Tamandua tetradactyla: one gene and its partners. The protein of the gene in region 3 purifies or fractionates together with the protein of the main gene of each other region. This does not show direct contact. Links are inferred from orthologs where the notes say so. Each region holds a gene or a part of one and is shown on either strand. Other genes may lie near its edges.

Region 1 (7,309 bases), on a different chromosome or scaffold from region 3:
GCCTTGCGGCACTGGCCCCAAAGCGGGTAGGCGCCTTTCCCCGCCAAGCACCAACACTATGTCCCCTCGGAAGCCAAGTGGACTTCCAGTCTCCCACTCTGAGAAGCTAAAAAAGAGAAGAGTCCCAGATCCAGCTACCCACCCCACTCCTCTTCCAGAGCGGGGGCAGGGGGCTCAAGACGCAGAGAAAAACTTTCTTCTCAATGTTTTTTCCAGAGCGTGGAAGAGGGGTAAGGAGAACCCCAGGGAGGCCGGGGCTAGGGGAATGGGGGGAGGGGAGACCCTGAATCGTTTAACGGCCGGTAGGGGGAGGGGGACTCCAGAGGTAGAGGGGGCGTGGGATAAAGAGACAGGCCTGGGAGTGGGGCCAGGGAGCTGTAGGAGTCCCTGAGGTCGGGGAGCTGTAGGCGTCCCCCCACCTTGCACACACTTTGCACACAAAGCGGCTGCCGCGCTCAGTTCTCACCAGATCCTTTGTGTTTTCCATCAGGGCCTCATGGGTAGGGGATGTCCGTGCTCCCCGGACCCGCGGCGCCCCCTCCCCGAGCCGGGGGTAGGCGCCTCTCCGCGGGACGGTGGCGACTACAAGGGGCCCACGGCTGGGCCCAGACTGGCGGCGGCTGTGGCAGCCCCCGGATTTCCCCCCTTTAACTAGGGTGGCCCCAGGATATCAACAACATTAGCATAGCCCTCCCTCCCCAGCGCGCTTGCGCCGTGACCTGCGCCCCGATTGGCCCACTTCCCTACATACCCTCCTCTCTCTCTCTTCCAGCGTGGGACCCTCTACAGGCTCCGTACTCTATGGGTCGTACCAAGACGCAGGGGTGGAGAAGGTAATCAGGACGTGGATTAAGTCGACGGGTTAAAAAGCAGAAGAGTAGAAATTTCATTCCATCACCTTGGTTTATACTTTGGCTTTTTGTACTCCTTTGACTATGTTGCAACTGCGAAGCTGACATGGAAAAATTTTCCATCCCTGTCACGCCGCTTCCCCCTTCACCCAGAAGATTGGCTCTCCCGGAGGAACTCCCACGTGGGGAGGGGCTCCCTAGAAGAGTGGGCGTTAAGTAGGGACCGAGTGTTGGGTCACGTGCTAAGAGGCTGCACAGGCTCCTTCCGGCCCCTCCCGCCTCTCTAGTGGCGGTGGAAAGTGAGGCATCTGGGCACATGCGCTGTAAGGTTCCACGTGAGCCCCTACGTTTCTTCTCAAACCTAAAGATGCCGCCGCAGCGAGGGAACCGAATGAAACCCAAGCGCAGAACCGGAGGGATGCCAGCTTCAAGGACTCGAATGAAGCCGGACCGAAGAAGCGGAGCGAGGCCGGCCGGCCCAGCTCGAAAACCTGCCCTTTCATCCCAGCGGAAATCCGCTGCCCGGCTAAGCGCGGCGACCGCTGCGATCGCAGTCACGGCGGAGGAGGAGAGGCGGCTCCGGCAGCAGAACCGTCTGGCGCTGGAGGAGGACAAACCCGCGGTGGAGCGGTGCTTGGAGGAGTTGGTTTTCGGCGATGTCGAGGACGACGAGCACGCGCTACTGCGGCGCCTGCGGGGCCCGCGGGTAAGGGAGGCCTCGGCGCGCGGGCTGGGTGCGCTCGGGCGGGGCGCGCGAATTGCTAGACTCCGGGGGCGGAGTCTGGGTGACCTGAGGCGGCGAGGAGCGCTCAGGTGGGAGGGAGCCTGAGAACGTGGGCGCCGAGGGGGTGCCGCTGTGCGTCCCCCGCCTCTTGGAGCCCGACGAAGTCTTCGGAGGGCGGAGACCGCACCTCTCTCCGCCTCCAGGGGAGCCACTGAGCCTGGTATGCAGCAGGTGCTCAACTTGTAGTTAGTTCTGAGCATCTTATCGCGGCTCAGCTTAGCTGTCCTTTCCAGCGTGGATGCTTGATCACTTTCCTCAGTCGTCTACCGTGTTTGTTGATGTAGGTTGCGGAGTTCCATTTTATTTGTGGAATCAGAATTCCTGGGCGCGGGCCTGGGAAAATGTATTTTAACAGTCTCTTGTATACCAGCTTTTCTAACCATTGTGTAATCGTTGATTCAACACATTTGCCAGCTTGTTGAGTGCCAGATACTCTTCTGGCAATGGCAAACCCTTCGTAATTGCCTATACGTTTTTACACTTTTTAAACATTCCTTTTATTATATGGCTTTCCTCCCAAGTTTGGGAGTTCCAGGCATTGTTCACATAATGAATGACATTGATAAAATTTTCTTGGAGCTTATAAACCAAAGGCAGAGACGGACAATAAAATAAGAAGAGCTCAAATATGTTAGTAACAAGGGCTGGAGAGATTGTTAAAAAAAAAAAAAAAAGCTTTCTGGGAAGGGTGATTAGTGGTATGGAGGAGGCCAGTGAGAGTTTAGAAAGGGTCGCCCCGAAAAGCTTCACCGAGAATTACGCAATTTATTTGCTAAATTAATGCGGACCTAACAAGGGTCAAGTTCGATCTGATTTCCAAAGCCTTTGGGTGCTATGGGAGAAATTGCTGATGTCTAATCTTAAAACAGACTGTATGACACTTCGATAGTCAGTGAAGAAAAGGAATAAATATACCTGAAGTGGACTTGTCGAGACTTCTTGTAGGAGATGGGATTTGTTGGGCTTTGCGTATATCTGTAAATAGAGTAACTAGAAATCCCTTGGGCATTTCTACCATGCAGTTTCAGGAAGGCTGAGCTTATTCCAAGAGATATTCTGTGATCTTCGTTTAGATTTCATAGTGGTTTCTTGAGTAAAGCTCAAAAAGAGTTAAGAGAAGTGAAGGAATAGTTCTAAGAGTATGAGATAAGAAATATGACAATTATGTTATTTTTGACTCTAGATTTGTCATTTTCTGTAGTTCTGGAATTTTTCCTGTGCCTTTCCTCGTCTGTCTTACCTTTTGTTGTTGTCTTACTTGGTCTTTTTCTTTTAGCATGTTAATTTTCTCTAAGTTCCATCTTTCCTTGTCTGTCCAGGCTGCAGTGCCATTTACTGGTCTTTTCATTTTCTGCTCTGTAGCATGCTGGTGGCATTCCATCCCATTATTTCATCAGAGGACTGCATTCTTCAAACCACCTGACTACAAGATGTGTGAAAAACTCATTGTGAGGACATTTTGTATTTTCTAGATTCATGTGCATGAAGACTCTGATGATTCAGAAGTGGAGAATGACTCAAAGGATACTTTTCCACCTCAAAAGAAGCCAGTTTGGGTGGATGAGGAAGATGAAGATGAGGAAATGTGAGTTGCTTAACTTTTTCTCCAGAATTCTTCTTGACACTTGAAAAGTTCTTTTGCAGGTTTTAAACATTCTTATGAAAATGTGATTGAAAATTTGAAAAGTGTAGGAAATTATGGAAAAGAAAAGCTGAGAACCACTGTTAACATTTTGGCATACTTCTCTCCCTCTCTTTTTTTCCTTCGTTGTAGAGAATAACAATGAGAGCAGTGTGTTTGAAGAACTCAGACCTAAGTTTCTTCCTAATTTGGCCTTTTTTTTTTCTTTTGGAATTTCAAAGAGAGAGTTTATTGCTAAGCGGGAAGCAGATCACATGGCCTGTAGGCTCAAAATCTGTCTCCCTGAATTTAAGGAGTTTGGGTTTTTTATGGATTCAAACAAGGGAGATGGTGTTGTTACCATTAAAATAACATGTGTAAACAGAGCTGAGGCTAGGGTAGAATGACCACTGTAATAGGAAGTATACACTGGGCTAAGAGTTTCAGTAATTTCAGGTATTGACATTAGGTTAGTCTACAATATAGAAAGAAAAAACATCTATAGAATGATTCAGTAATCATAATCATTTGTTAATTTTTAATTTCTGAGTTACAACTTCAGCAAAATTGGACTTGCTTTGAAACAAGTGGGGCTTTAATTGATATACTGTGAAGTGACCTACTATTGTTTTTCTAGAACAAGAGAGTAGCAGTAATTACTGCCTATGGAAACTCTGCCTTGTGAAATAGAATCATGCACTTACCTGACTTGCTTGTTCAAACTGCTGCCTTCTCATGCCCTAAGAGATGTTCGAAATCACATTGCAAGTTGTACTTTCACTATTAACTCCACTGGCTGAAATTCCTCAGTAGAACTTTGCTGGGCTCCTCAACTCTATTTCTGCTAGGACCTCTTTGCCTTGCCAAGCCAAACTGAGGAATCCCAGAAAGTTTTTTTAAAGTTATATTTTCATCTCCAGATCATACACAGTTTCTTTAGTTATGTGGAATTGGAGGATATCACTTTTGCATGTTCTATGCTGATGAGGAAGTTTGTGTTCTGTTTATTCTTCTGAACTTTCTTGGGTTCCTTTAGCTGCTATAAAATTATCCCTTTCTCCCAAAGAGTAGAAGTGTTTCTTTTTTCTGTGATTTGGACTACCATACTCAAATTATTAGACTTCTTGTTTCATGACCCTTACTTTAAACTTTAAACTCCTTCAGAATTTGACCATTTCTTAACTGTCCTTCAGCAAGTTTGGAACCTACCTTTTCTCATTTGTAAAATGATGATGATAATAACTATCAGAAGGGTGTAGGGATTAAATGAAATGGTGCAAATAGAACTCTTGGCACAGTGCCTGGAACTGTGTAGGCTAAAAGGTTAGCTAGCACATGTGATATGTGCTTTTGTTGATGAAAATGTACCGTATATTTAGTTTAGCATGTTGTCTTTTTCTAATTATCACTCTATTTCAAGTATTTGCTCCCTATTTTTCTTTTCTTTTTTTTAAAAAAAACCTTATAAACATTTTTAAGGGCTGTATTATAACCAATAGTACGAATTAATCCTAATTTACATAGCTATTATTGGACCGATTGTTTTTATTTTTCCCTTTAATAAATTAATGCATCTTTGTGCATGAATTTCTGTCTACTTTCCTGATTATTTCCTTAAAAAAGATTCTCTGAGGTGGAATCCCTTGATCAGAAAGCATGAGCACTTTTAGAGCTTTGGATAAATATGGCCAGACTACATATGATAAGGTTCTATCAGTTATTTTCCCATCAAAAGGTATCCATTTCATCACTCCTGTTGCATAGATAATGTTATCGTTTTTCAGATTTTGTCAGTTTGATGGGTGGGAAATAATCTCTAGTTTGTGTTGAAAAACCATCTTTGCTATTAGTCGTTGGTATTTTCTTTTATAAGAGTTCTTTAGTATCTCTTATTTATTTATTGGAGACTTTCTTAATTATTTTAATGTAAAAGAACCCTACATATTGTGAATTTTAAAACTTTTGTGTCGAATTTATTGCAAATTTTTTTCCTAATTTCCTGTTGGCCTTTTAATTTTGTTTTGTAATGTCTTTTGAAACTCCATATTTAAATTTTTATATTGATCTGTGAATCTTTTTTTAATACTATTTTTACTAATTTACTGTTAAAACAGATTTTAACAGTTTAAGATTTGTTTTTTGTACATATAACTTGATTACCTGGAATTTAATTTGGTTGATGGTATAAACTGTGCCAGGATAATTGATTTTGAATTTGAGATATTAGCTCTCTCATGAATAAACTCTCTCATGATCTGAAATACTGGAGATTCTTTTTTGTTTGAAGAAGAATGGAGAATATGCATATGATATGTTCTGCATCTTATACATCTTGATATATATTGTGAAATTAGTTTTATCTAAGTGGTAAAGGCAACAACTATTTGTGTTGAATCTTTAAACATTTAAAGCATGCTGTTCTTGTTTTTTATAGGGTTGACATGATGAACAATCGTTTTCGGAAAGATATGATGAAAAATGCCAGTGAAAGTAGACTTTCAAAAGAACAGTTACAAAAGAGACTTAAAGAAGAGTAAGTGTCTTTTTTCATGTGATTCACCAAGATATAATTTTATAACCAGTAGTTTATTTGGAGTTGCAAATCTTTGTTTTCTGTAGGTTTTTGAGTAGTCAGTTTCTGTTTTGAAACAGTTAAAAGTATTGTTATTGGAAGAAATGATTAAATTTAAAATTGGGAGAGCGAGGATACAACAAGCGTGAAGGAAATTTGGAAGAAGTTTTTTGTGATCTCACCACTCAAATATAACCAGTGATGATACTGTGTACTTGTTTAATTATTTGTATGTAGTAAACCATCTCTTTCCCACAACTTTATAATATGAAAAATTTCAAAATTGAACACCTTTAATACTTTCTACCTGGATTGGATGATATTTTAGCATTTTTGCACACATTTGCTTTATGTATGTGAGGGGTGTGTGTATGAATGTGTGTGTATATGATTTCCTGATTTATTTGAAGTGAAAATAAGGTGCAGAAAACAGAATACTTCATTCTTAAGTTCTTCAGTATGCATTGCCAAAGGTCAAGGGCATTTCCCTTCTTATCCAAGATATCATTATCAAATCTTACACATATCTCCAGTTGTCATAAGGTTCCTGTGTTATATTTTATGTTTCTAAAATCTCTTTTAACCTAAGCCAGCCTTAATTTTTGCCTCTGACATTGATTTTTTAAAATATTCAGGCCAGTTTTCTTGTAGAATGTTCCACATTCTGAAATTTCTGTTTTGGTTTTTTTTTTTAATTGTGGAAACATATCTGCAACATAAATATTCCCTTCTCACCCACTCCTATATCACTAATTAATGGAATTAATCACATTAAAAAATACTGTTATTCTCACCACCTTCCATTACTAAAATTTTCCCATCTCCCCAAACAGATACCCTATATTCATTATGCAATAATTCCCCATTCCCCCTGGCTCATGTCCTTGATAGCCTGTACTCTAATTTCTGTCTCTATTAGTTCACATATTCTCCAGAATTTTCTTTATATTTACTGTAGGATTTAAATTTAATATCCTAAATCTATAATAATCTTGTTTGCCTTGATACAACTTGACTTCATTAGTATACACAAATATGCCCCTCTAGCTTTTGACCTTTATGTAATTCTTGTCACAAATTGCATTCTAAGTCCAAAACCTCTGATTCATTGTTGCATTTTATGTATTTACCTTTTAGATCCTATAAGAAGTAAGAAGCAGAATTACAAACTAAAAATACAATAATACTGGCGTTTATATTTGCCCATGTCATTACTCTTACTGGAGGTCTTTATTTCTTCATGTGTTTTTGTGTTTGTGTGTGTGTGTGTGTGTGTGTGTGTGGCAGGCGAGAACTCTGCCTGCTGAGCCACTGTGGCCCGCCCCTTCATGTGGTTTTAATCTGTTGTCTGCCATCCTTTCCTTTAAACCAACAGACCTCTCTAGCATCTTTTTTTAGGGTTGATCTAGTAGTGCCACATTCCCTCAGCTTTTGTTTATCTGGTAATGTCTTAATCTTGCCCTCATTTTTGAAAGATAGTT
Region 2 (7,257 bases), on a different chromosome or scaffold from region 3:
GCCGGCACAGGGGGAGAGCCCCCCCCTCCGCAACTTTAGCCGGTTTCCGAAGGAGGCTGCTTTCCACCTTCACAAGGGACTAGGCTCAAGCCAGCTGCCGCGACCCACGTTCAGGCCCACCAATCCCAAAGGGATAAGAGGCGGGGGGATAAATCCGGCGGAGAGACCGCCCCCTCCCCCTCTTCCTCAGCCACAGCGGGTTAATCGCCCAACCCTACCGCTCGGCTCCCGGTGTCAAGGGAAATCCGAGCACTGCGCATGCGCCTGTTTGATCTCAGCGTTCCAGCCCTCTCGGTGCGGAGGGGTGGGCGGCCCTGAGGGGAGCCGAGCCAATCGCGAGGCTGTTACCGATCACGTGAGGCGGGTTCCTCGTGCCCTAACGAATCCTCGGGTGGAAGCCAGGCGCGCCTCGGTCGGCTCACCTCTCTTACGGAGGCTTGGCGAGTCGGTCTAGGAACCTTCTTTGCCGGCTCTGGACTGCGTTCTCCGAACTTCGGCAAGAGTGTGGGGGACCACTTCTCGAAGAGCTCTGGAGAGCAGCGCTGGTGCCGAGTCAGAGACGTTAAACAGTTGCATATCGTAAAACAATACGTGTCACCAAGGATCCATCTTGACTCTTTTCCGGCGTTACCGCCTTGTTTACTATTTAGTTTAAGGTGCGTGCTTATCTTAGTTCCGAATGGCGTTCTGTGCACATCTACGTTTGGTTTGCTTCCAACACGATGCTGGCCACAGTGACAGCGTTCAGTAAATATGTAAATATGTAATAAATGAAGTATGGACACTTGGGGGAAAAAAGCCACAGAAAGCAGTTAGACCATGGTACAATCTTCCCGCGATTCAAGGCTTTAGTCTCCAACTCTCGAGTCTCTGAGTTCCAAAGGACTTTAGACATAGAGAAATTCCCCCATTCTCATGGTCTAGTCTTCGCACTAAGTCTACTCAGTTTTAACAAAGTGCCCTCGAGGTTCGGTACAGTCTCTGAACAGATTGTAAACTGCTAGAGAGCAGGGACTGTGTTTGGGTCACTCATACCTCCAATTCCTCGCTGTGACTACATTGTTGGGGCTCAAAAGTTATTTGTAGAATGAAGAAATGAAGAGGTATGGAAAATATCCAGGTTTTACAGCCCTCAAGATGGCCTAGTTATCCTCCATCCTGATGTCTTCTGAGTTGTTGAAAGGGAACCTAGAACCTAAAAGTCCATAAAATATCCCCAACATACTTACATCGGCCTTCTACCCCTCCTCCCACCAAGATCCAAGATAATTGTTTTCTTGCTGCCACCTGCTGGATTATTTTTCCTTCTTTGGGTCGAAAAGCTTCAAATGATTAGACTGCCACCCCTAATTCTACAGTAGTGAAATTGTGAAGTACTGAATTATATTATGATTGGCTATAGCAATACCCACCCCCAAAGAAACACCATAGGGAATAGCAGGGTGGGGGCACACTGCCTAGCAAAGGATTTGATTCGTGGTAGGTGTTCAATAAATACCTGTTGAGTAAATTATCCTTGTTTCCATCTAAAGCATGAGATTGTTAGCATTTCCTGAATTACTTCTTTAGCAATCATTTGATGTAGATGTAAAGCTGTTTCTGATTAACAATTGGTAAAAGACCAATAAAGCCCTAACTGACAGAGGCAGTAGGTCAAACAGAGGGCTTTTCTCCCTGGAATCTAATCTATCACTTTGATAAAAGAGTGAATTCGTGCTCGCTTCGGCAGCACATATACTAAAATTAGAACGATACAGAGAAGATTAGTATGGCCCCTGCGCAAGGATGACATGCAAATTCGTGAAGCGTTCCATATTTTAAAAAAAAAAAAGTAAATTCTATTTCATCCCTCTTGGAAGAAGAAATCCCTCTTTTGTAGCTCCTTAGGAGTCTTTGTTTCTCCTTTATGTACCAGAAAATGTTTACTATTATACTTACCACCTTGTATTGTTTTTGTCTCCCTCACAAGACTGTGACCACTTCAGGGTAAAGATTACATCTTACCCATTTTCACTTCTCAAGCATCTAGAATGGTGTTTGGCAGAGAGTAATTGTCCAATATCTGTGCTCTGAATATATGAATGAATGAAGGCAAAATTCAAGAAATGGGGCTAGGGGTGTTTAAGAAGCAGGTATCACCCATCTTTCCCCCCTAAACCTTGTCTCTGTGCTCACTCCCACTCCATTCCTGGGGTACTCTCTGAGTCATGGAGCCATTCATCCCCAGTAACATTCCTGACATAGCAGAACTGGAGTGACGTGGCAGGGTGTGGAAGCAGGGGCAGTGCAGGACAAGTTGGCTTGGTGCTCCCAAGGAAGTGGAGAAGGGAGTTCACCAATACATACTTTGGGAAGGGAGGGGGCATTCTGGTGACCTCAAAGAAGGGTTCAGGGAGACATGAACATACAGACGGGCACCTGCACATGCATGTGCACACATACGCCCACAGGACTTTAGAAAAACTTCCTTTAGTGACTTAGAACAGTTCCCAAGGTCAGAATGAAGGGGCAAGAGGCTGGCAAGAGCAAATGAGAAGCAAGAATAAGAAGATGGATGCCATAACCATTCAACTTGTCATTTATTAATTCATTCAAGGAACATTATTTAGCCCCAACTATATCCCAGGCACTGTAGAGAGTTCCTAATATACAAAATCCCTGCCCTCAAAAAGATCACGAATAATGAGGGAGACAGACACATAAATCATTACGATAATGTGTAGAGGTGTTACCATAGAGTATGTATAAGTGCTATGGTTTGACAACCATATTTTCAGAATAAAAAAGTGGGAACAAAAGTAGACACGGACCCCTGTCTACATGGGACATGACTCCCAGGGGTGTGGACCTTCCTGGCAACGTGGAACAGAAATCCTAGAATGAACTAAGACTCAGCATCAAGGGATTGAGAAAAACCCTAGAATGAGCTGAGACTCAGCATCAAGGGATTGAGAAAACCTTCTCGACCAAAACAGGGAAGAGTGAAATGGGACAAAGTGTCAATGGCTGAGAGATTCCAAACAGAGTCGAGAGGTTATCCTGGACGTTATTCTTACGCATTAAGTAGATATCACCTTTTAGTCAAGATGTAGTGGAGAGGCTGGAGGGAACTGCCTGAAAATGTACAGCTGTGTTCCAGTAGCTGTGTTTCTTGATGATGACTATATAATGATATAGCTTTCACAATGTGACTGTGTGATTGTGAAAATCTTGTGTCTGATGCTCCTTTTATCTACTTTGTCAACAGACGAGTAGAACATATGGATAAAAATAAATAATAGGGGGGAAGAAAAAAAGTAGACACAGAGTCTTGACGATACCACAGATGATATGAAATTAGAAGATACTCCAGAAAATCTAGAAGGCATGATCCCCTTGGTTACAGGATCTGTACCTCAAAAGTCAGGGATGAGTGTGAGGGAAGACTTCACTGCATTCAGAATAAGTATTTAGACGAGAAAGGCAAGGGATTCAAAGGCGAAGGAAGCACATGGGGGCATACCAGAGAATTGGGTCTTAGGGGAGTGATGCTGGAATAGGATGAATGTAGTGATGTGGCAGGAGGTGAGTCTAGAAAGGCAGGGGAAAGCTAAATTATGAAGGTAGTTTTGACCTACAAATATCTACTACATGCTTACTAAACACTGTGCTAAGACATTTGCAAGAATTATCTCTTAATCTTCATAACAGCACAGACTCCACAGGTAGGTATTACAAGTATGTCTCATCTGTAAGATGAGAAAACAAAGGCAGAGAGGTAAAGCAACTTGCCAAAGGTCACAGAACTAGATGAACTTAGATAAAATTCGAACTCAGGTCCGTCCGGCTCTAACGCTGTGCCCTTGACCACGGTTACTGCTCTGGCTCGAGTTAGCACCTTATTTCATGAGGGTGGGGAGTTATTAAAAGGTTTCTGAGCAAAAGAGTGACAGAGTCCAGTCTGGGTTTTTAGAAAAGTTCCTACTGGTAGCAGAGTGGAAAACGAATAGGAGCAAAGGGAAACGGACCTCTTCTAAAAGAAAATTGGTTGATTTCCAAATTCAGGACTTACGGTAGTAGGTGGGGCGTCAGCGTCTCCAAGTGGAATTTTTCCGTCACTCGAGTTGGCGGACTAGAGCAGGGGGCGTGGTTTCCGCCCGGGGTGGGCGGGGCTGAAGAGTAAAGCTCGGCCTAGGGGGCGGGGCTAAGAGCTCCTCGATGCTCTACTGCTTCTGACTGTACACGTTCCGCTTCTGCCGCCCACGGCCATCCGCAGGTAGTGGTGTCGAGCGCCGAGTCCCGAGTCGAGCTAGGTGACGGGATGCTGGTGGGGGCGCAGCCTCGGTGGGTAGTATGAGTTTGGCTGGGGGCCGAGCACCCCGGAAGACAGCGGGGAACCGGCTTTCTGGGCTCCTGGAGGCAGAGGAGGAAGATGAGTTCTACCAGACGACTTATGGGGGTTTCACAGAGGCAAGAGCCGGGCCCAGGAAGAGGGAGGGGAGGAAGCGAAAAGTGGAATCCTGAAGGGACAAACCCCGGACAAAGAAGTGGGGAGCGGGTAACAGAGAGAAGCCCTGGAAGCTGATACTCAAGAAGGGGGTGGGGGGGTAGTCCAAAAGGGAGAGTCCTGGACGGGGTTGGTGGGCTGAGGAATGGAGAGGCTCTCGGTGGGAGACCCTAACATGTGGCAGAAACCAAGCGTCTACTTCTCTAGTTGCATGTCTCACCCCATTTCTGACGTCCAGCACACGCAAGGCACATCTGGTCGCTCGATATATATTCCTTGGTTAACTGCTTGGTTATTCACCTGAGATGTAGAAAGGACCCTTCCGCAAAAGTAAAGGGGCTTAGCCCACTCCTTTTTCAGTTTAAAAGTCTCAATATCTCCTTAAATAACCTTTCCTTAACTGTTGTAAAAGTATCTCCATTTGTTTCCTTCATAGAACATGTTTCAATTTGTAATTAAATTTGGTTTGCTTACATGTTAATGCTTTCCTATTAGATTGTAAACTCCGTGATGGCCCGTGTTCAACAGTAAAAGACCAGTGGGACTAGTCCGGTGTCTGGACTGGACTGGCATTCGTTAAATTTTATTGACCGAATCTATCTGTTCATTATGTGCTGAGCACCCAGAGCATACAAAGCATTATGATAAGCTCTAGGGGAACAGAAAGTATTAAAAACACCGCTCTATTCTTACATATTCCAAATCCCAGTGGGGGAACTAGTCAGGTTAACAGCTAACGTATTCTAAAAATTGTATGATAAGCACTAAAATAAGAGACAGGCATAGAGGGCTATGGTATCATGGAAGCCAGAGTTGTTTGGGATTGAGATCCCCGGGGGTGTGATGTTTAAGCTGAGAATAGTTTGAAAAGTAAGCTTTGGCTAGATGAAGAGAAGTAGGGCTGGGAATAAGGCAAAGGAAACAGTCTCCAGAAGGCATGGAGTAGAATATGTAAAGGCGCTGAGATCCTGGTCTGGCCTGGAATCTGCAAGTCATCCTCCAGAGCATGAAGGAGAATGAAGATTGGTGAGGCTGGAGGGAGGAGGCTGGGCTAGATGGTGTAGGGCCTTGAGAACCGTGTTCAGGAGTTTTACTCTTCAGAGGACTGAGGAGATTCATCAGAATAGCATGATCAAATTTCTGTTTTAAACAGATCAGTCTTTAAGGAGGAGAATGGTTCAAAGGTGGCAAAACTAGAGGCAGGGAAACTAGATTAGGTAGAATCCAGGAAAGATAGAGGTGATGGTGGCCTGAGCTGAATTTGTGGCAGAGAAAGTAGGGAAACATGGACTAGATGATACAAAGAAATTAAAGAACTATAACCCACAGTACTTGATGACTGACTGGGAATCGTTACTTACATAACCCTAACCAACTAGGTTAAAATAGAAATGTCTCATCCCTCCTACAAGGCCAAGTCCCCTCTCCCCATTTTCCTATTTTTGTCATTTTACGAGTTATTTAATATGTACCAGTTGTACTTCCAAAAATAGTTTAAGGAGGCTTACACTATACACAAAAAGTAGGAACAGTAAAAATAGAGACAGATGAGAAGTAATTGTACCAGGAGCCTATGCTAAAATGGTAATAGCAATTGATAGTAAATTTAGCTGTGAGTTTCCTGGCAGCCAAATCCTGAATTTATTTATTTATTTTTGTAAGAAAGAAGCATGTAAGTTTGTCAAGAGTGACAAACTTATTCAGTATTAAATCTTAAAAGGAATTTATCATAGCATCCTTCTATAAGATGTATAAAGTAACAGGGTTTTGTAAGTGATGTAAAAAAATTCCCTTGTCTAATCATGACTATTAAGGACCCTCAAATAAAAGCCAAAGAAATGGTGGTAAACCCATAATTTAGTGAAAGCATTTCATTGAGCATTAAGCTAATGTGCAGTTGAACTACTACCCTGTAGTGATATGACTTAATACCAGATTAGAACTCAGGGGATTAATATGTTCCCAGGCTGTCTTTCACAAACATCACGTGGGAAGAAATGATAGTCATCAGTGCAAGATGGAATTTTGACTGGCTTGGAGTGTAAAGCATCTTGTTTGCTTGTTTTGGCTGCAAGTGTACCAAGGTTAGCCCATTAGTCTGCATCATAGATTGAAAAGAGAGCCACATGTTTGAGGTGCTACCCAGCCCAGTAGATTCTTCCTCCCCAAAGTGCTTTTTCTTCTTTTGCATTGTGGCTGCTATTTTAGCCCTAAACGGCATCGCCTAAGTCTAGGCTGTACCTCGTGCTCGCTGCTCCAGCCCATCTAACCACCTCCAGACTTTCTGAAACACCTTTTATACACAGTTTTCCCCTCCTCCAAATCTTCAGTGACTCTCTGTTCCCCATTGTAGGAGTACCCAACTCTTTTACTGCCCCAACACATCTAAGGAATGAGACATACTTCTCTCAGTAACTTTACTAAATCAATACTAATTTACTCATCATCAGTGTTGGGACAAGTAAGGGGATGGAGGGAACTGAGAATCACTGGCCTGCAGGTTAAAAATCATAGGTTTATTAGACTGACTACTAAGCCTTGCCATAGACTGAATGCAGTCTCCTTTTCAAATCTTTCATATCTGGAAGGTAATCAGTTAATGTTGAAGGAGACTATGGAGCCAAAGGCAATCAGCCAGGAAGACTTCTTACCAGAAACACTCTGCTTTGCTTAGGTTGAAATCCTTATTCCATAAACATTCTATATTCATTCCTGCTTTGGCACCTTTGTTTCTGCTGTTCTGTCTACCCATGATTTCCTCTTTACTCTTA
Region 3 (7,954 bases):
TGCATCGATTTAGAAAAAGAAATAAAATGATAATAGAGAAAAAAAAGACTATACATACCATACCCCTTACCCCTCGCTTTCATTTACCACTAGCATTTCAAACTGTATTTTAACATTTGCTCCCCAAGAGGGATCTGGAGTTTTTTTTTTTTTTTTTTACATGGGCAGGCATCAGGCACCGGGGATCAAACCCGGGTCCTCTGGCATGGCAGGCAAGCATTCTTGCCTGCTGAGCCACCGTGGCCCACCCGCACCTGCCTTTTCTAATCCCAGACCCGAGCTCGCCGACTCTTACCTTCTCGGACCTCTTGAATGATCTCTTCAGGAAGGACGAAGTTCCTCTCTGGATTTGGGAATGGAAGAATCTCAGACTCATGCTGATGTCAAATGCGATGTTTTATTTTATTAAAAAACAAAGAAAAAATGTGATTTCAGCCAATGATTAAAAACTCAGGAGCAGTGATGATGCTCAATCATCTTAAATAAATGTGGTGCAAGGCTGAGGAAGGGATGAGGTGCAGGGGTGAGGGAGGAGAGTGGGTTGAGGTGCAGGGGTGGGTGTGGGATACAGAGGTGAAGGGTGTAGGGGTGAGGGAAGAGGGAGGGCTGGGGCGCAGGACTGAGGGAAGAGGGTGGGTTGGGGCACAAGGGTGAGGGATAATGGTGGCTGGGGTGTAGGGGTAAGGGAGGAGGGTGGGCTGAGGCACAGGGGTGAGGGGCACAGGGGTAAGGGAGGAGGACGGCCTGGGGTACAGAGCTGAGGGCCCTGTTCTTCCCACCATCACAGCCTACGATGGCCTGGGCTGGGCAGACAGACCCACAGAAGGCAAGAATGACATGAAAGCCTCAGCAGTCCTCAGAGGGGAGACTCGGGTCTGTGACAACTGAGAGGGCAGGCTGAAGCCCACCCGCCCACAAACACCCCCAGGGTGGCTCAGGGGAGGGCATGGGCCCAGCCCACATGAGATGAGCCTCAGCACGAGTGTATATTCTGAGAGCACAAGCTGGGCAAAACCTGCAGCACACACAGGGCAGTTGAGGGTCCAGGCCGGAGGCCCTCCAGCTTCCGCCCATGCCCACCGGGAACCAGGGTGGACAACCGAGCAAGTGGGTCAGGGTCAGCCGGGGACACCTACTGGGCTCTAGTCACAAGTACCAGGATGGCTGGATAGAAGGGAAAGCATCCCTGACTGGTGGGGAGGTGGAGGCAGGATACAGGGTCTCCACTCAGCAGTCCCCCTGAAATCTGTCTCCCTTTGGTGGTGGTGGGGGCTGGCCAGGGCTCCGCGTTTTATATGATCTTGAGTGATTCTGGAATCAGTCATATTGGGGTGCCATGGCCTAAAAAAGTGATGACCCAAAGTCTTGCCCAGCCCCTGAATGTAATAAGCTGCCCCAGGAACAGGAAGTAGCCATGGAGCGGGCATTGACAGCTTTCTGAGTGCCCCAGAGACTAGACTTCTCAGTGTGAGGCCCCACCAAGCCAGAAGTCTGTCCCTCATACTGGTGGGCCTGGCAGCCTCAGATCCATGTCACTGTGGCAGGAGCATCCCAACGACGGGGAGTCAGTGCCGCACCTACATCTCTGCACCCTGGCCTCCAGCCTAATACAGGGCTGGAGTTGGGGCTCGGTTGGATCCAGTTGGCCTGGACAAATGCCCCCCTGCCACGAGTGCCTCACTATGACAGGGGCTGGTGCAGAGGGTGCCCACTGTCCTGACTCACAGTGGGGAGAGGGGACACCTCCGCCAGAGGGCAGAACCAGACCTCAGGGCTAGGTCGGGTCCTGTACCCACTCCAGACCCCAGCAGACCATGCACCTGGCCGACCGGCCCATCACTTGGGGTCTGGCTCTGCCCAGGCTCAGAATAGCCTCATCATGGACTGCTCACAGGGACAGCAGCACAGGTCTCAGGGTGCTTGCCACGGGCCCCCTGCCTCCCTGTGTGACTGTGCTCAGCTCCCATGTACAGCTAGGGAAGGCCGGGAAAGGGGGTACAACAGACCCCAGGCAGAAGCCTTGAAGATGTCCCAGTCAGGAGGCGGCTATGGCCCCAGGTTCTGCCTGGAGGGCGCAGGTCTTCCTACCCCTCCTGGCCCCCATCCCCCTTGCACCCCCAGGTCGCTGGCCACATGCTGTTCTTCATTAGCATCCTGACCCACTAATCCTCCCCATCCCTTCCAGCAGGCAACTCTGTGAGGGCAGGAACCCTGCCCACCTGGTTCCCCAGAAGCTCCTGTGACCACCTTTACCAGATGGGACCCTGCCTCCTTCTTGCCCACGTCTTCCCTGGGACCTCCCGTGGCTGAGTAGGACCCAAACACCCGGGAATGTGCTGGCAGGCTCCCCTGATGCTGCTGGGACGCCCTCCCCCAGGCCTCAGGCTCAGCCCCAGCTCTCAGACAAGCAATCCCCCATTTCCCAGCCACGAGGGCTTGGCTTTTTCACAAGCGCAGGCCCCCTCCCTGGCGCTACGCTGTGCAGCGGCCCCGTCCCTCCCAGGCGGAAGCTATATCCCCGGCAGGGCCGCGGGACCCGGCGGGGCAGAAAAGATGGGACTGCCGGCCTCCCCCGGGGCGGGCCCCTGGGGCCTCACCAGCGCCTGCATGTCATACATGGTGCTCAGGTGGTCCCAGATGACCTTGGAAGGGACCTGCCGCCCGATGTTCTGGCTGAACTTGTCCCGGATGCAGATCATGTGGAAGTGCCGGTTCACACCTGCGAGGAGGGGGCGGTGGGCAAAGTCGGCGGGGAGGGTTGGCCCCATGCCCCGCCCCCACCCCGACGGTTACGGAACCGCCCCGCCCCCACGCGAGTGCGCGGCCTCAGGCGCGCTCACCGACGGGCTTGTGGCCCAGCATGGCGTGGAAAAGGCACACTTCCACCTCGGGACTCCACACCACCGTCTCCTCCGCGGGGCTCGTTGCCGCCTCCCCCGGCCCCTTGTCGCCCGCGGCGCCGCCGCCGCCCACCTCCGCTTCCCCCATGGCCGCGGCTGGCCACCAGCCCCGCGCGAGGAGGCGCGGCCACGGGCCCGCGCAGGCGCAGGCGCAGGCGCGCGCTCGGGCAGGCGCGCGCTGGGGATCGCGCTCCAGCGCAGGCGCAGTTAATGGCCCGGGCTCCGGCACGCGTTCATGGCGCCCCCTGGCGGCCGCATCGCGCCGCGTAGTGCTGTCCAGCGGCTGTGGATGGGCCACCGTTTCCAGCCGCCCTGCTCTGGCCCTAGGGTAGTGGGGGTTCCTCGGGATAGAACGGAAGAAAATATTTGCAAGGTCTAGTATCCACACTATATAAAGAACTTTTTTTTGTTTTGTTTTGTTTTTTCTTTAAAATTTTTTTATTGTGAATAATAACATAAAAAAGCAATAAATTTCAAAGCACAACACAATTACTTGTAGAACAAATTTCAGAATTTGATGTGGATTACAATTCCACAATTTTAGGCTTTTACTTCTAGCTGCTCCGAGACACTGGAAACTAAGAGAAATATCAGTGTAATGATTCAGCAATCGTGCTCATTTGTTAAATCCTATTAACTGTTACAACTCCACCTTCTCCTTTGATCTTTATAGCTTTCTCTTAAACAATGAAGGTGAGCATTTAGATGCAAAAAGTATAGAATACGGGAGACTGAACTGACTGGGAAGTGTTTGATTGGAAACTCATGCTCACTGTAAGTTCATTGAGGGCAGGAAGTATGTCTTATTTTTATATTCCCCGCACCTAGCATACATCTTGAGACATCACAGGAATTCAAGAAATGTTACTTGAAGAAGGCATTATCAGCAATTCTGAGTCGTCAGTTTGATGCAGTTGCTAAAAAGATCAGTGCCACGTTAATACTGAATAGAAATGCACTGTCCAGATCCAGAAAATTGTCTCATGCTATTTAGAAGACACTTAGGACACAGTGTGGGACTCCATACTGGGCATCTTATTTTAAAAGGGACGTGGCCAACAGAAGAGGATGGCCACAGACCACCCAGTCAGAGGTCTGGAAACTATCTCAGAACAGCTGAAGGAGCTGGGAAGGCTCAGCCCCGAGAGCAGGTGGAGTGGAGAATTTGATAGCTGACCTCACATACCTGAAATACTACAAAGTGAAGAGTTGGCTTACTCTCCTGCTTATATAAAGAACTTTTGAAGCTAAAAATATAAAGACAAATAACCCAATTAAAGAATGGGCAAAGGACTTGAAGAGACATTTCTCTAAAGATCTACCAATGGCCAAAAAAGCATGAAAAGACGCTGAATATCATTAGCCATTAGGGAAAAGCAAAGCAGAACCACCATGAGATACAACCTGCACCCATCAGGATGGCTACAGTAAAAAAGAGACAATCACAAGTGTTGGTGAGGATGCGGAGAAGTAGAAACTCTCGTGCATTGCTAGTAAGAAGGTAAAATGGTGCAGCTGCTGTGGAAAATAGGCCCTTTCTCAGAATGTTGAACACAGAGTTGCCACATGACCCAGCAAGTCCCCTGAAAGCAAATGTCCACTCAAAAAATCACAGCAGCATAATTCACAATAGCTGAGAGGAACAAACCACCCACGTGGACATTGACAAAATGGATAATCAGAATGTGTTCTATCTATCCAACAAAAAATTATTCAGCCATGTAAAGAAAAGAAGTTCTGATACATGACATTACATTGATAGATTTCGAAGATTGCATACTGAAAGAAGCAAAAGACACCATCACAAAAGGTTACATTTTGTATGATTCCATTTATCTCAAATTTACAGAATAGGAGAATCCATAGGACAGAAGGCAGATTAGAGGTTACCTCGGCGGGAGGGGCTGGGGAGCTTGGGAGAAATGGGAAGTGACTGCTAATGAGCACGGAGTTTCTTTTCAGGTGATTAAAATGTTCTAAAGTTGCTTGTGGTGTTAAATGCACGTATCTATGACAATATTAAAAATATTTGAAGTGTGCACTTTGAACAGGTGAATTGTATGATATGTGAATTGTATCTTAATAAAACTGTTAAGGAAAAAAAAGGACAATTCCAGTGGGGAGGGGAGGTTCCAACAGGCTTTACTTGTCGCTGGGCTAGCACCATCCTGCTGGGCCGGAGCTGGACCAAGGGGCCCACGACCACCTGTGCACCGGAGGGAAGGGGCGCCCGGACCCTGCTGCACTCGACAGCTGCCCCCCGCCGGTGTTGACCGATCAACCCCGGGCAACGCAGTCTGGAACTCTGGGTGGGAGTCAACCGCGAGTCCGGAAAAGAAACCACGGCGGGGCGGGGTCTGGATGAGGTCGAAGCTTGGAGCTTGGACCGGTGGGGACCCGCCGGGCGATCTGCGAGCAGGGCCGGGGGCGGGGCCTGGTGCACTGGGGGGGAGGCCAGGCCCAGTGGGGTCTGGGTGGGCAGGGGGCGGGGTATGGGCGGGGACGGGGGGGGTGCGTTGGGAGTGGGGCGGGGCCTGGTTGAACTGGGGGCCTGAAAGTGGGGGATGAGTTTGCATGGGGTCGGAGGCAAGGATGGAGGATGCGGATGGGTACGGGGGGTGGGGGGAGTGAACTGGAGAAGGGTCGGGGCGAGGGTGAACCCGGGGCGGACCTGGGCAGGGCGGTCGGGGGCGGGGCCTCCGGCCGGTCTTCAAGCCTGAGGAAGCCCTAGCGGCCCCGCCCTCTCCCCGCCCCCTCTCCTCGCCCCGCCCCGCCCCTCCTGCCCTGGACCTCTTGGCAGCTGTCGCCCCTCCCGCGCCAAGCTGACCCGCCTCCGGCCTCCGCTCCTGCTCTCAGCCCCGCCTTCCAACTGAGGCCGCCCCCCAGGAGCTCCGTGCCCCGTGTGCTGCTGGCCTCGCCGCCTCTGGCCTCGCTTCTCGGGGCGCTCCGTGGCTCTCGGTTTCTGCCGCAGAGGGTTCTTGGCGAGCCGGCTCGGCCCCACTCCACTGCCCCCGCGTCTTCCCAGAGGTCCTGGGCTCACTCTCACAGGCCCACAGGAAGCAGCCCCCCGCCCTGGGGCTCTCCTGACTTCTGCCTTTGGTTTTGTGGGGCACGGGGCGCATCGGGCCAGCTCAGCAGCTTGGGGGCCACAGGGAGATGTGGGAAAATGCGCCTGGTTTTTAAATTTCCATAAGAACCTACCTCCCAGACTCCAGGCCTCAGTTTCCCTCTGAAATGGGCCCAGCAACAGTGCATTCTCCTCTGGTGTGTGGATGGGGGTTTGGCTGCCCGGGGCTAGAGTGGGTGGTGCTGAGTACTGCCTCTTGGCTGAGGCCGCCTCTGGGTCAGCCCCACCTGCCCAGTAAGCCCAGTGACCGCCTAAGCCTCAGCGTCCCCATCTGCTGGCAATCTGCAATGAGGCAGATGTGGCCCAGAGAGGGGGCATAAGTGGCCCAGGGCATTCAGCTGTCATGGGGGAGCCCTGGTGTGGCTGGAGGTGGTGACTGGGCTGGGCCTGGGCTCCTTGCCTCTGCCCTGACCCCCTGGGTCAGCCTCCCGGGTGTTCCCCTCCACCTCCCTCCACTCCTGTGCTTTACCATGGCTCCATGGCGGACAGATGATGCGTCGGTGTGGTTCAAAATCCACTACACACGAAAGGGGCTCCCATGCCTTCCCCAGCTGCCTCCTCAACCCAGTCTCTCTCTTGCCTTCCATTCTGGGGGTTCTCAAATGAAAGAAAGGTTTAATTGTTATGTTTATATCTCATTTCAAAGTTTCTTTTTTATACAAAGCACATTTTTCTTGACCCACAATCTTTTATTCTTTCTCATCCTTTCTCCCAGGCTGCCTCTCTGAGGCTCCCCCTTCGGCATGAGCAGCCCCCTCCCCCATCCCCCACCCCTGTCCTTAAGGTCACCTTCCCAGGCCCTCACCCCCCACCCCCTGTTCCCCATCCTCCTGCTTCCGCTCTGCCCCGTGTGGCCCTGCGAGGTTTGGACATCATCTTATAATGTGAGGATAAGTGACTGGTGACAAGAAAAGCAACAAGGAGGGGGTTCCTCCAGGCACAAGGAGGTGTGGGAGCGCCCGAGAGCAGAGCGTGCTGAGGGGTCGGGGCTCCCAGCCCCCATCTGGCCCACGGCCCCCCGTGGCTGCGCTGATGTTGGAGAGCCGGGGCCATGGCAGCTCTGGGTGTTGGGACATCGAGGGCAGCTCCCGGGCTCCTTCCCAGGCTGAGGGGCCAGAGTCTCTGACCCTAACCATGACCATCCCTGCCCTGTCATGGGCAAGCATGGTGGCCAGGGGAGGGGTTGGTCTCCCTGTCCTACTGTGGCCCTTCTGTTCCATTCCAAGTGGACATTTCTCTTCTCAAAGAAATCAGAGGTTGGGCTGCGTGGGGTCGCAGGAGCAGGGGCCCAGGCCAGCTGCTGCGGCCCTCAGTGGATGTATCAAATCTTCAGGGGTGTCCCCATCTGCTATGGGGACCCAAAGTGGCAGTTTGGCCCAGAAACCTGCTGGCGGTTCTGTTCCTTGGAGCCGTTCCCAGCATTTTGAAGACACTCAGTTCCTTGCATAGGGCAGGCATCTGCGTTGATGGCCTGCAGGACTGTCCCACCTCCAGGGGCTCTGGAGTCACCTGTGGGACCCCCACAGCACCCCTGGTAGGACCTCCACCTTGCCCACCACTCCACCTGCCCAGGGCAAGTGGAAAGCTTTGGGGCTCTGGACTCACCTGCACTCATTCCAGACAGGCGGTGGGAATTATAGGCTCCTTTTTTGGATTTCCAGACTTAACAAATCAAAATACAAAAAGTGCATTTAAACTGGAGTTTCAACAGGTGACAAATAATGTTGTATATCCCTTGCAATGTTTGAAACAAAGTTTTACTCCAAAATTGTTTGCTATTTACCTGGAATTCAAGTTTATCTGGGTAGGTGGTCTTTTTGCATGGATTGTCTCCTGGCCAGCTACTTGATATGCTGGAAAGAGGGGCCCTGCCAGCTGCATCCTGTCCTGTCTTCTTGGCTGCCTCCTGCCAAGTCAGAGCCTCGTG
Region 4 (7,474 bases), on a different chromosome or scaffold from region 3:
ATGCTCATACTGGTTTTCTCATCTATTGAAATAACTATCTGACTAGCAGTTATACGTACCTTTCATAAAATGAGAAAACACACAAGGAAATAAATACAATTTATTTTAAACAGAAAAATTTTGAGAAGTCTAGTATCTTACAAGATTCTTAAAATTGAAAATGTGCATATCTCAGATCTAGCGATGTCACTTCTAGGAACTTATCCTATAGAAATACTGATACAAAGAGAAAACTGTACCCCTAAATGCCCGTAGAAGACAAATGTAAAACAAATTATGGTATATCCAATGGAATACTACTGAGTTTTTAAAAAGAATAAGATCATATCTAGTGTATTGACAGAAAAATACCCACATACTGTCTTAAATGAAATATCAAGCTAAAAACTATGTATATATGATGTTCCTATTCTTATTCAAAAAAAAATTTAAACATGTCCACAAACCACACATAGAAAAATTTATGAAAGGACATATCAAACTTAATGGAGACTACTCTAGAGTAAGAAGGGGAGGATATGGTGAAATCAGAATATTCATTCATTGCTGGTACATTTGCAAATCATCTATGTGATAAGAGATTTGTATCTGAAATATATAAAGAACTCTTACAACTCAAAAATAAAAAGATAAATAACTAAGAAATGGGCAAAGCAGAGTACACAAGTGCTTAAGTAGTAAAATGCTTGCCTTCCATTCAGGGGACCCAGGTTCGATTCCCAGACCTTGCACACCCCCACACCCCCCAAAAAAGGGCAGAGGATCGGAATAGGTATTTCTCCAAAGAAGATGTACAAATGGCCACTAAGCAAATGAAAAAATGCTCAATACCATTAATCATCAGGGAAATGCAAATCGAAACCAAATGAGATACCATTTCACACCCACTAGGATAGTTAAAAACAAAAGGACAAAAATAAGTCTTGGTGAAGATGTGGTAAAAGTGGAATACTCATTCATGCTAGTGGGAATGTAAAACTGTGGTTGCTTTGGAAAACAGTTTGGCAGTTCTTTCAAACTTAAATACAGAGTTACCATATGACCCAGGAATTTCACTCCTAATATACCCAAAAGAATTTAAAGCACAAGTTCACACAAAAACAAGAAAGATTGATGGCAACATCATTCATAATAGCTAAAAGGTGGGAACAATCCAAATTTCTACCAACTTATGAGCATACAAAATGTGGCTATCTATACATGGAATATACTTTTCAGCCACATAAAGGAATGAAGTACTGATACATGCTATATTATAAATGAAATTTGAAAACATTATCCTATGTGAAATAAGCCAGTCACAGAAAACCAACATGTCCAGAACAGGCAGATCAAGAGAGACGGAAAGTAGACTAGCTGTTGCCTAGGGATGGGAGTGGGGTGGAGGAAGTTATGTAGCTTGACTGTTAAGTGCTTCTCTCTGGGGTAATGAAAATATTCCAAGATTAGATTATGGTGATGGTTGCACAACTCTATGAATATACTTAAAACCAATGAGTTGTATTATTTATGGTGATTTACATCTCAATAACTCTGTTTAAAAAAAAAGATGCTTAAAGATTAATATATAGATTAATTAAATATAATTCATTAACTATATCCAACAGCAGGAAAAAATACCCAGCAGTTCTAAGACCCAAGACAGACATCATGGATAACGTACCAATTCTGATCTCCACTTCTCATTACAGAAGATGCCAAACACAGCTTTTCCCGGATGGACCATGGCTCTGTGGGGCCAGAACTCAACAGTTTGTGTTCTGAAAGTAGAGAAAGAGTATACAGATAACCAGAGACACGAGTTTTAAGCACCAGAGAACTAAAAGCCTAATACAAAACACCCAACTTGTTAGCACAAAGTAGGCTCTTATAGCACCAAATCTGGATTTTCGCCGTTAAAGCGAAATAGCTGTGTATCACGGTGCGGGGTGCGGGTGGGGGGTACTTATTCTTTGCATGAGAATTGCACGGTGTGTGGTATATGGGAGAACATTTGATTTCCTCAAAACCCAAGGCTTCAAGCTCCGCTTTAATAAAAGATAGGAAATGACGTATTAAGCCGAAAAAGTTTTCTCGAAAGCCCCAATTTTAAGAATACTTTCTCTAATTTAAAAATACAGGTTTATTTCCCAGGATTCCGAGCGGCTAGCTCCGCCTGCTGCCCCGCCTCCTTCTTAGCATAAAACTGTTTACTAGTCTCATTACCCCGCCCCCAACTGTCGGGCCTAAAAGGCCTTCTCTACCTATTAAACATAAGGAAAATAATTGAGATGTACGAAACTCAATTTTCCCGGTGGCAGAAAAAGCTCACGATTAAAAGACCCCATTTCCACTGCCTCACAAACACATTCGCTAGAAACTGAACTGATGTTTGAGACACCAGCCCCTCCGTATGATGGCCGAATCTGCGTCTGCACGCCCAAGTTTCTAGAGCGCCTTTATGCCTTCCTCCGCGGAGCTCCCTACATACAGGGATTCGCTAAATACTTCCCTTACGCCTCCGCTCCCTCCCTGAGACACAGGACCCTATACTTCGGGCCCCCAACCGTTGGCCTTTACTACGCCGTCAAGCGCAGGTCTCTGGACACCCTGGGCTCTCAGCCAAACCACCCCAACCACTCCCTAAATGTTAGACTGAAATCTGGTGCCTAGCCTCGGCTCTACAATGGCCTTCCGCTCAAAAGTAGCGCAGACACTCACTGCCCGTTCCTGCCGCCATCTTGGCCCCGAAGTCTACTATCCCGGAAGAGTGTGAGTCAGGTAGGACCGGATCCCGGAGAACTCTGGGAAATCGAGTACGGGAGTTTGTTCGCGATGACTCCTGGGAAATGTAGGTTTGTTTGTTTGTTTGTTTTTCCGACCCCCCCCCACCTCCCCCAACGGAGTACGCAAGTTAAAGTAGCGTTGCTAAGGAAGGACAGGGGATGGCAACTGAAGCCTCAGGCTTCTTAGGAAATGAAATGTCTAGGGGTTACGCTAAAGGGTTAAGCCGGACGAATCCGAAGTGACTCGATTCCAAATTTCCGACAGTTGGTAACCCGGACCCACGTGAGAGTGGAGAGGTCAAATAGAAGCAGAAGTCCCCTATTTCGCCCGCCTCCCTTCTTTGCGCTGATTGGTAGCTGCAGGCTCTTTTGTCTGATTGGCCGAGTGAACGGAGCGCGTAATTTAAAACAATGTATCAGTAACAAAGCTGCGCCTCGTGGGCGGAGTTGTGCTGCGGACCGCTAAGGTCCAGGATCCGCAGCTGAATGAGTGAGTCGGTTCCGGAGCGGGAACGAGTGTCGCGGCTTCAGGTAAGTGTGCAGCTCGACTGGAGCCCGGGTTATCAGCTCTTGATTTCGCAGAACGGGCTTTCAGAAGGGGGCACCGCCACCATCTCTTTTTTTCTTAATACCTTTGCCCTCGTGGTGGACTTGGGAAGAGGTTGGAAAAGGAGCCTGGGGATCCTGACCTTTGACTCTGCCCGTGCCCCATAGTACGGAAAGGCGAGGTACCCTACTGGCCTTCTAGTTTTGGAGGTGTATCTCTTTTCTTTCCTATTCAAGGTCGGAAATGCCTCTCCAGAAAGGTTTCAAAGATTAACTCCTCCTCTCAACCCCTTCCCCGTATTTGGAGGGAAAAGGGAATAGGAATTCAGGCAGGCAAACCAGGTTTCCAAGGGTAAGGGGATTGCTTCTTACCTAGAATTTGCAACCCCTTCTGTCCTTAAAGTTTTCCTCCCTACCCACTCTTGTCTCTTTTCAGACCAAAGCTGTCCCTGCCGACATGTCACAAGGGATCCTTTCTCCACCAGCCGGCTTATTGTCGGATGAGGAACTCGCAGTTTCCCCTATGTTTGAGTCTACAGCTGCAGATTTAGGGTCTGTGATACGCAAAGACCTACTGTCAGACTGCTCTGTCATCTCCACTTCCCTGGAGAACAAGCAACAGGTAACAGAGTTGGGGCGTGGCTTGGGGTAAGAAAGTGATATCTCCACCCTACTAGTTGTCTATACAGGGTGTTAGGTCAAAGGCAAGCAAAACTGAGATTCTGAGAGATCGGTTCAAAGTGAAGGGTAATGACCAGTCAAAAATGTAGAGTTGGGTTTCAATAAGAAGAATTAGTATTAGCATTGCATTAATAAAATACCATCATGTCCCTCCCAGTCCTGTTAAATAATTTGCAAAAGGTCATACTGCCATTAAGTAGGTGAAATGTACACTCAGGTTTTAATAATATCAACCATCATTACGATTATTGAGACTTTCTTTTTGTTAGGCCATGATTTCTCAGCTGCAGCATTATTGACATCGGGGGCTGGATAATTCTTTATTGTGGGGGACTGTCTCGGAAATTATAAGATGTTTAGCAGCTTTCCAGGCCTCAACCCCCTGGATGCCAGTAGTACTAACCAACTGGTGACCCAAAAAAGTCAGACATTGCTAAATGTCCCTGGGAGCTTGGGGAGGGGTAGGGGGAACGTTTGCCCTGCTAGAGAACCACTGTACTAGACAGGCCCTATGTTAAACACTGAATCTACATTGTCACATCTTGTCTTCAAAAGTCTTCTTTCTCATAAAGGGCAGGAGCTTTGATGATAACCCTCACTATGAACTACTAGAGCCTCTTAAATTCCTGAGCCATGATAGGCACTAAATATCTGTAGAATGAATGAGGTGGGTGCTATTATTAACCTCATTCTACAGATGAAAAAAACTGAGGCAGAGAGAATTTAAAGAATCTGTTTAAGGTCTCATAGTTATTAAATGATGGGATTAGGACTCAAATTCAGGTGTGTCTGCCTTTATAGTGCTTAACTACTGTGCTTTGCCCTAATATCACATTCTGACTTTCATACCAGTCAACTAATTCTGAGATAATCAGTATGGCAATGAACAGTGGCAGGATACTGATGAGATAGGGAAGAGTGACAGAGTAGTGAAAAAGTCCATATGAGTTGGGATGATTGTGAAAGCAAAGAGTACCTGCAGAGACATTTGGGGTAGAAGGGGGTAGAATCACTAGCATGATTCCTAAGAACGGTGCTATGTTTGCCTATCTGCTCAGATGATTAATCTGTTTTTTTGGGTTGAAATTCTGCCACAGGTTCCATCTGAGGATAGTACCGAGAAAGTGAAAGTATACCTGAGGATCAGGCCCTTGTTACCTTCAGAATTGGAACGACAGGAAGATCAGGTGAGTATCTGAGGAGGAAGGACTCAAGATGGAATGATGTAATATAGAAGTAGTTCCCAGGAATGCTTCCTTTTGTGACAACTGTTTTCCCCACCCACAGAGCTGTGTCCGCATTGAGAATGGAGAGACTCTTGTTCTACAAGCACCTAAGGACTCTTTTGCCTTGAAAAGCAATGAGCGAGGAATTGGCCAAGCCACCCACAGGTTCACCTTTTCCCAGGTATGAAGGTTCTGGGCTGTGAACAAAGAACCAGCATCTAGGGACAATTTCATTTCCTCTCTAGAAAGAACACTTCTTTACTTGACTGTGAGATCTTAAGTTGTGTGTGTGACTCTCTGTATGTTCATGTGTATATAGCCATGCATGAGTTTGTATATGTACCTATATATATACACGCATATAAATACACACATGTACACATCTACAGTTTGGGGAGGGGTACTGTTATGTGCTAGTACTGTCTGAAGTACTTTATGTGCATTAATTCACGACTCTATTGTTGTGATTATTATTGTTGTTAATCCTATTTTCCCCGCAAGGATACTGTGGCTCAATGAAGTAACATATATGGTACAGTAGGACTTGGATCCAGAGCCATCCATCCCTAAAGTTCATTGTGAACCATTATTCTGCCTCATTGAGTGTGTAGCATTCCAGAAGAATTTGTTGATTTGGATGAAGGATGGACTAGCAGAGAAGTGGTTGGATCGTTAGTATTTAGGGGCAAGCTTGTAGCACTGTAGGAAGAGGCTGTTTGAAGTTGTCTCCAGAGCCAATCACCCAAGAATGGAGGAATAAATCTGCACAGGGGGAGAATGGGTGATGAAGGGTGGACATACCACTGACAAATTGGCTTTGTCTCTAGATCTTTGGACCAGAAGTGGGACAGGCATCCTTCTTCAACCTAACTGTGAAGGAGATGGTAAAGGATGTACTCAAAGGGCAGAACTGGCTCATCTACACATATGGAGTCACCAACTCAGGGAAAACCCACACAATTCAAGGTAAGTAGAAAAGCCTAAAAGGGTTGCTAGCTGGCCTATGAGGATGTTATCTTTGCCTTTTAATGTTCTGAGTTGGGGGGAGAAAGGTAGCTGCCTCAGTTGTCCATCTCTCATATACTTCCAGGTACCATCAAGGATGGTGGGATCCTGCCCCGGTCCCTGGCTCTGATCTTCAATAGCCTCCAAGGACAATTTCATCCAATACCTGATCTGAAACCCTTGCTTTCCAATGAAGTAATATGGCTAGATAGCAAGCAGATCAGGCAGGAAGAAATGAAGAAGCTGGCCCTGCTAAATGGAGGCTTACAAGAGGTGAGGTGTTAGTGTTCATGGAGGCAAGGGTGAGGGTACATATCTTTGGAAAATTTTGGACTTATCTCTTCTCTGGGCCCCTCCAGGAGGAGCTGTCCACTTCCCTGAAGCGAAGCGTTTATATTGAAAGTCTGCAGATGGGTACCAGCACCAGCTTTGACAGTGGCATTGCTGGGCTCTCCTCTACCAGTCAGTTTACCAGCAGTAGCCAGCTAGATGGTATGTACCATAATTGGTCTCTTTGCCAAGTAACAGTAGAAACTTAGTCTCTGCCCCAACAGTTGCCAGGGTTCAGACCATAGGTTACAACCTGAGTTCTGCCTTCCAAGGCCCCTGCAGGCCAAAAGGGAGATGGACTGCTCTAGAATTAATGCCCTGTACATTGCTCCTTCCCCAGAAACAAGTGACCGATGGGCACAACCAGACACAGCCCCAGTAAGTGTCCCAGCACACATTCGCTTCTCCATCTGGATCTCCTTCTTTGAAATCTACAATGAGATGATCTATGACCTGTTAGAACCACCTAGCCAGCAGCGCAAGAGGCAGACTCTGCGGCTGTGCGAAGATCAGAATGGCAATCCCTATGTGAAAGGTATGGGAAGACGTAGGAAATGTCATGAACACTGGAGGGGGTTTGGGGGAGAAACTAGGAAAAGAGTTGATTGAGTGTACCCATCTTATGCCCTTCTCTCCTTTGGCCTAAAGACCTCAATTGGATTCATGTTCAGGATGCTGAGGAGGCGTGGAAACTCCTGAAAGTGGGTCGTAAGAACCAGAGCTTTGCCAGCACCCACCTGAACCAGAACTCCAGTCGCAGGTAAAAGTCAACCTTTACTGTATTCCAGTAAACACAAGTCCTCTGCCCAGTCATGGAAGGTATACAATGACATTTTTTTCCCTTAACTTTTAGTCACAGCATCTTCTCAATCCGGATCCTACACCTTCAGGGGGAAGGGGATATAGTCCCCAAGATCAGCG

The links.
Region 1: the proteins of MRGBP (region 3) and MBTD1 purify together in Homo sapiens (affinity purification with mass spectrometry; 4 studies listed by BioGRID and IntAct, counting the BioPlex papers as one, with this or other methods). This does not show direct contact. The link is inferred for Tamandua tetradactyla from reciprocal best matches to the Homo sapiens genes MRGBP and MBTD1.
Region 2: the proteins of MRGBP (region 3) and VPS72 purify together in Homo sapiens (co-immunoprecipitation; 5 studies listed by BioGRID and IntAct, counting the BioPlex papers as one, with this or other methods). This does not show direct contact. The link is inferred for Tamandua tetradactyla from reciprocal best matches to the Homo sapiens genes MRGBP and VPS72.
Region 4: the proteins of MRGBP (region 3) and BRD8 purify together in Homo sapiens (affinity purification with mass spectrometry; 10 studies listed by BioGRID and IntAct, counting the BioPlex papers as one, with this or other methods). This does not show direct contact. The link is inferred for Tamandua tetradactyla from reciprocal best matches to the Homo sapiens genes MRGBP and BRD8.

Annotation. Positions count from the first base shown.
Region 1 is NC_135332.1:32,355,637-32,362,945, forward strand, and holds the start of MBTD1 (MBT domain-containing protein 1), read right to left. Parts: upstream 3,010-7,309; 5' UTR 2,984-3,009; coding exon 2,876-2,983; intron 1,558-2,875; coding exon of another isoform or gene 1,168-1,557; exon of another isoform or gene 752-1,167; intron 726-751; exon of another isoform or gene 488-725; coding exon of another isoform or gene 467-487; intron 272-466; exon of another isoform or gene 19-271; intron 1-18. Other genes in the region: UTP18 (U3 small nucleolar RNA-associated protein 18 homolog), read left to right, coding at 1,168-1,557, 3,108-3,220, 5,691-5,789. UniProt on the Homo sapiens protein: Chromatin reader component of the NuA4 histone acetyltransferase complex, a multiprotein complex involved in transcriptional activation of select genes principally by acetylation of nucleosomal histones H4 and H2A.
Region 2 is NC_135330.1:4,371,202-4,378,458, forward strand, and holds the start of VPS72 (vacuolar protein sorting-associated protein 72 homolog), read left to right. Parts: upstream 1-4,238; 5' UTR 4,239-4,332; coding exon 4,333-4,449; intron 4,450-7,257. UniProt on the Homo sapiens protein: Deposition-and-exchange histone chaperone specific for H2AZ1, specifically chaperones H2AZ1 and deposits it into nucleosomes.
Region 3 is NC_135327.1:60,344,883-60,352,836, reverse strand, and holds the start of MRGBP (MRG/MORF4L-binding protein), read right to left. Parts: upstream 3,017-7,954; 5' UTR 2,989-3,016; coding exon 2,841-2,988; intron 2,720-2,840; coding exon 2,598-2,719; intron 378-2,597; coding exon 296-377; intron 1-295.
Region 4 is NC_135346.1:17,856,234-17,863,707, forward strand, and holds the start of BRD8 (bromodomain-containing protein 8), read right to left. Parts: upstream 3,019-7,474; 5' UTR 2,720-3,018; coding exon 2,701-2,719; intron 1,761-2,700; coding exon 1,664-1,760; intron 1-1,663. Other genes in the region: kinesin-like protein KIF20A, read left to right, coding at 3,252-3,296, 3,748-3,933, 5,090-5,179, 5,280-5,399, 6,046-6,184, 6,309-6,496, 6,583-6,715, 6,894-7,088 and 2 more. UniProt on the Homo sapiens protein: May act as a coactivator during transcriptional activation by hormone-activated nuclear receptors (NR). Isoform 2 stimulates transcriptional activation by AR/DHTR, ESR1/NR3A1, RXRA/NR2B1 and THRB/ERBA2.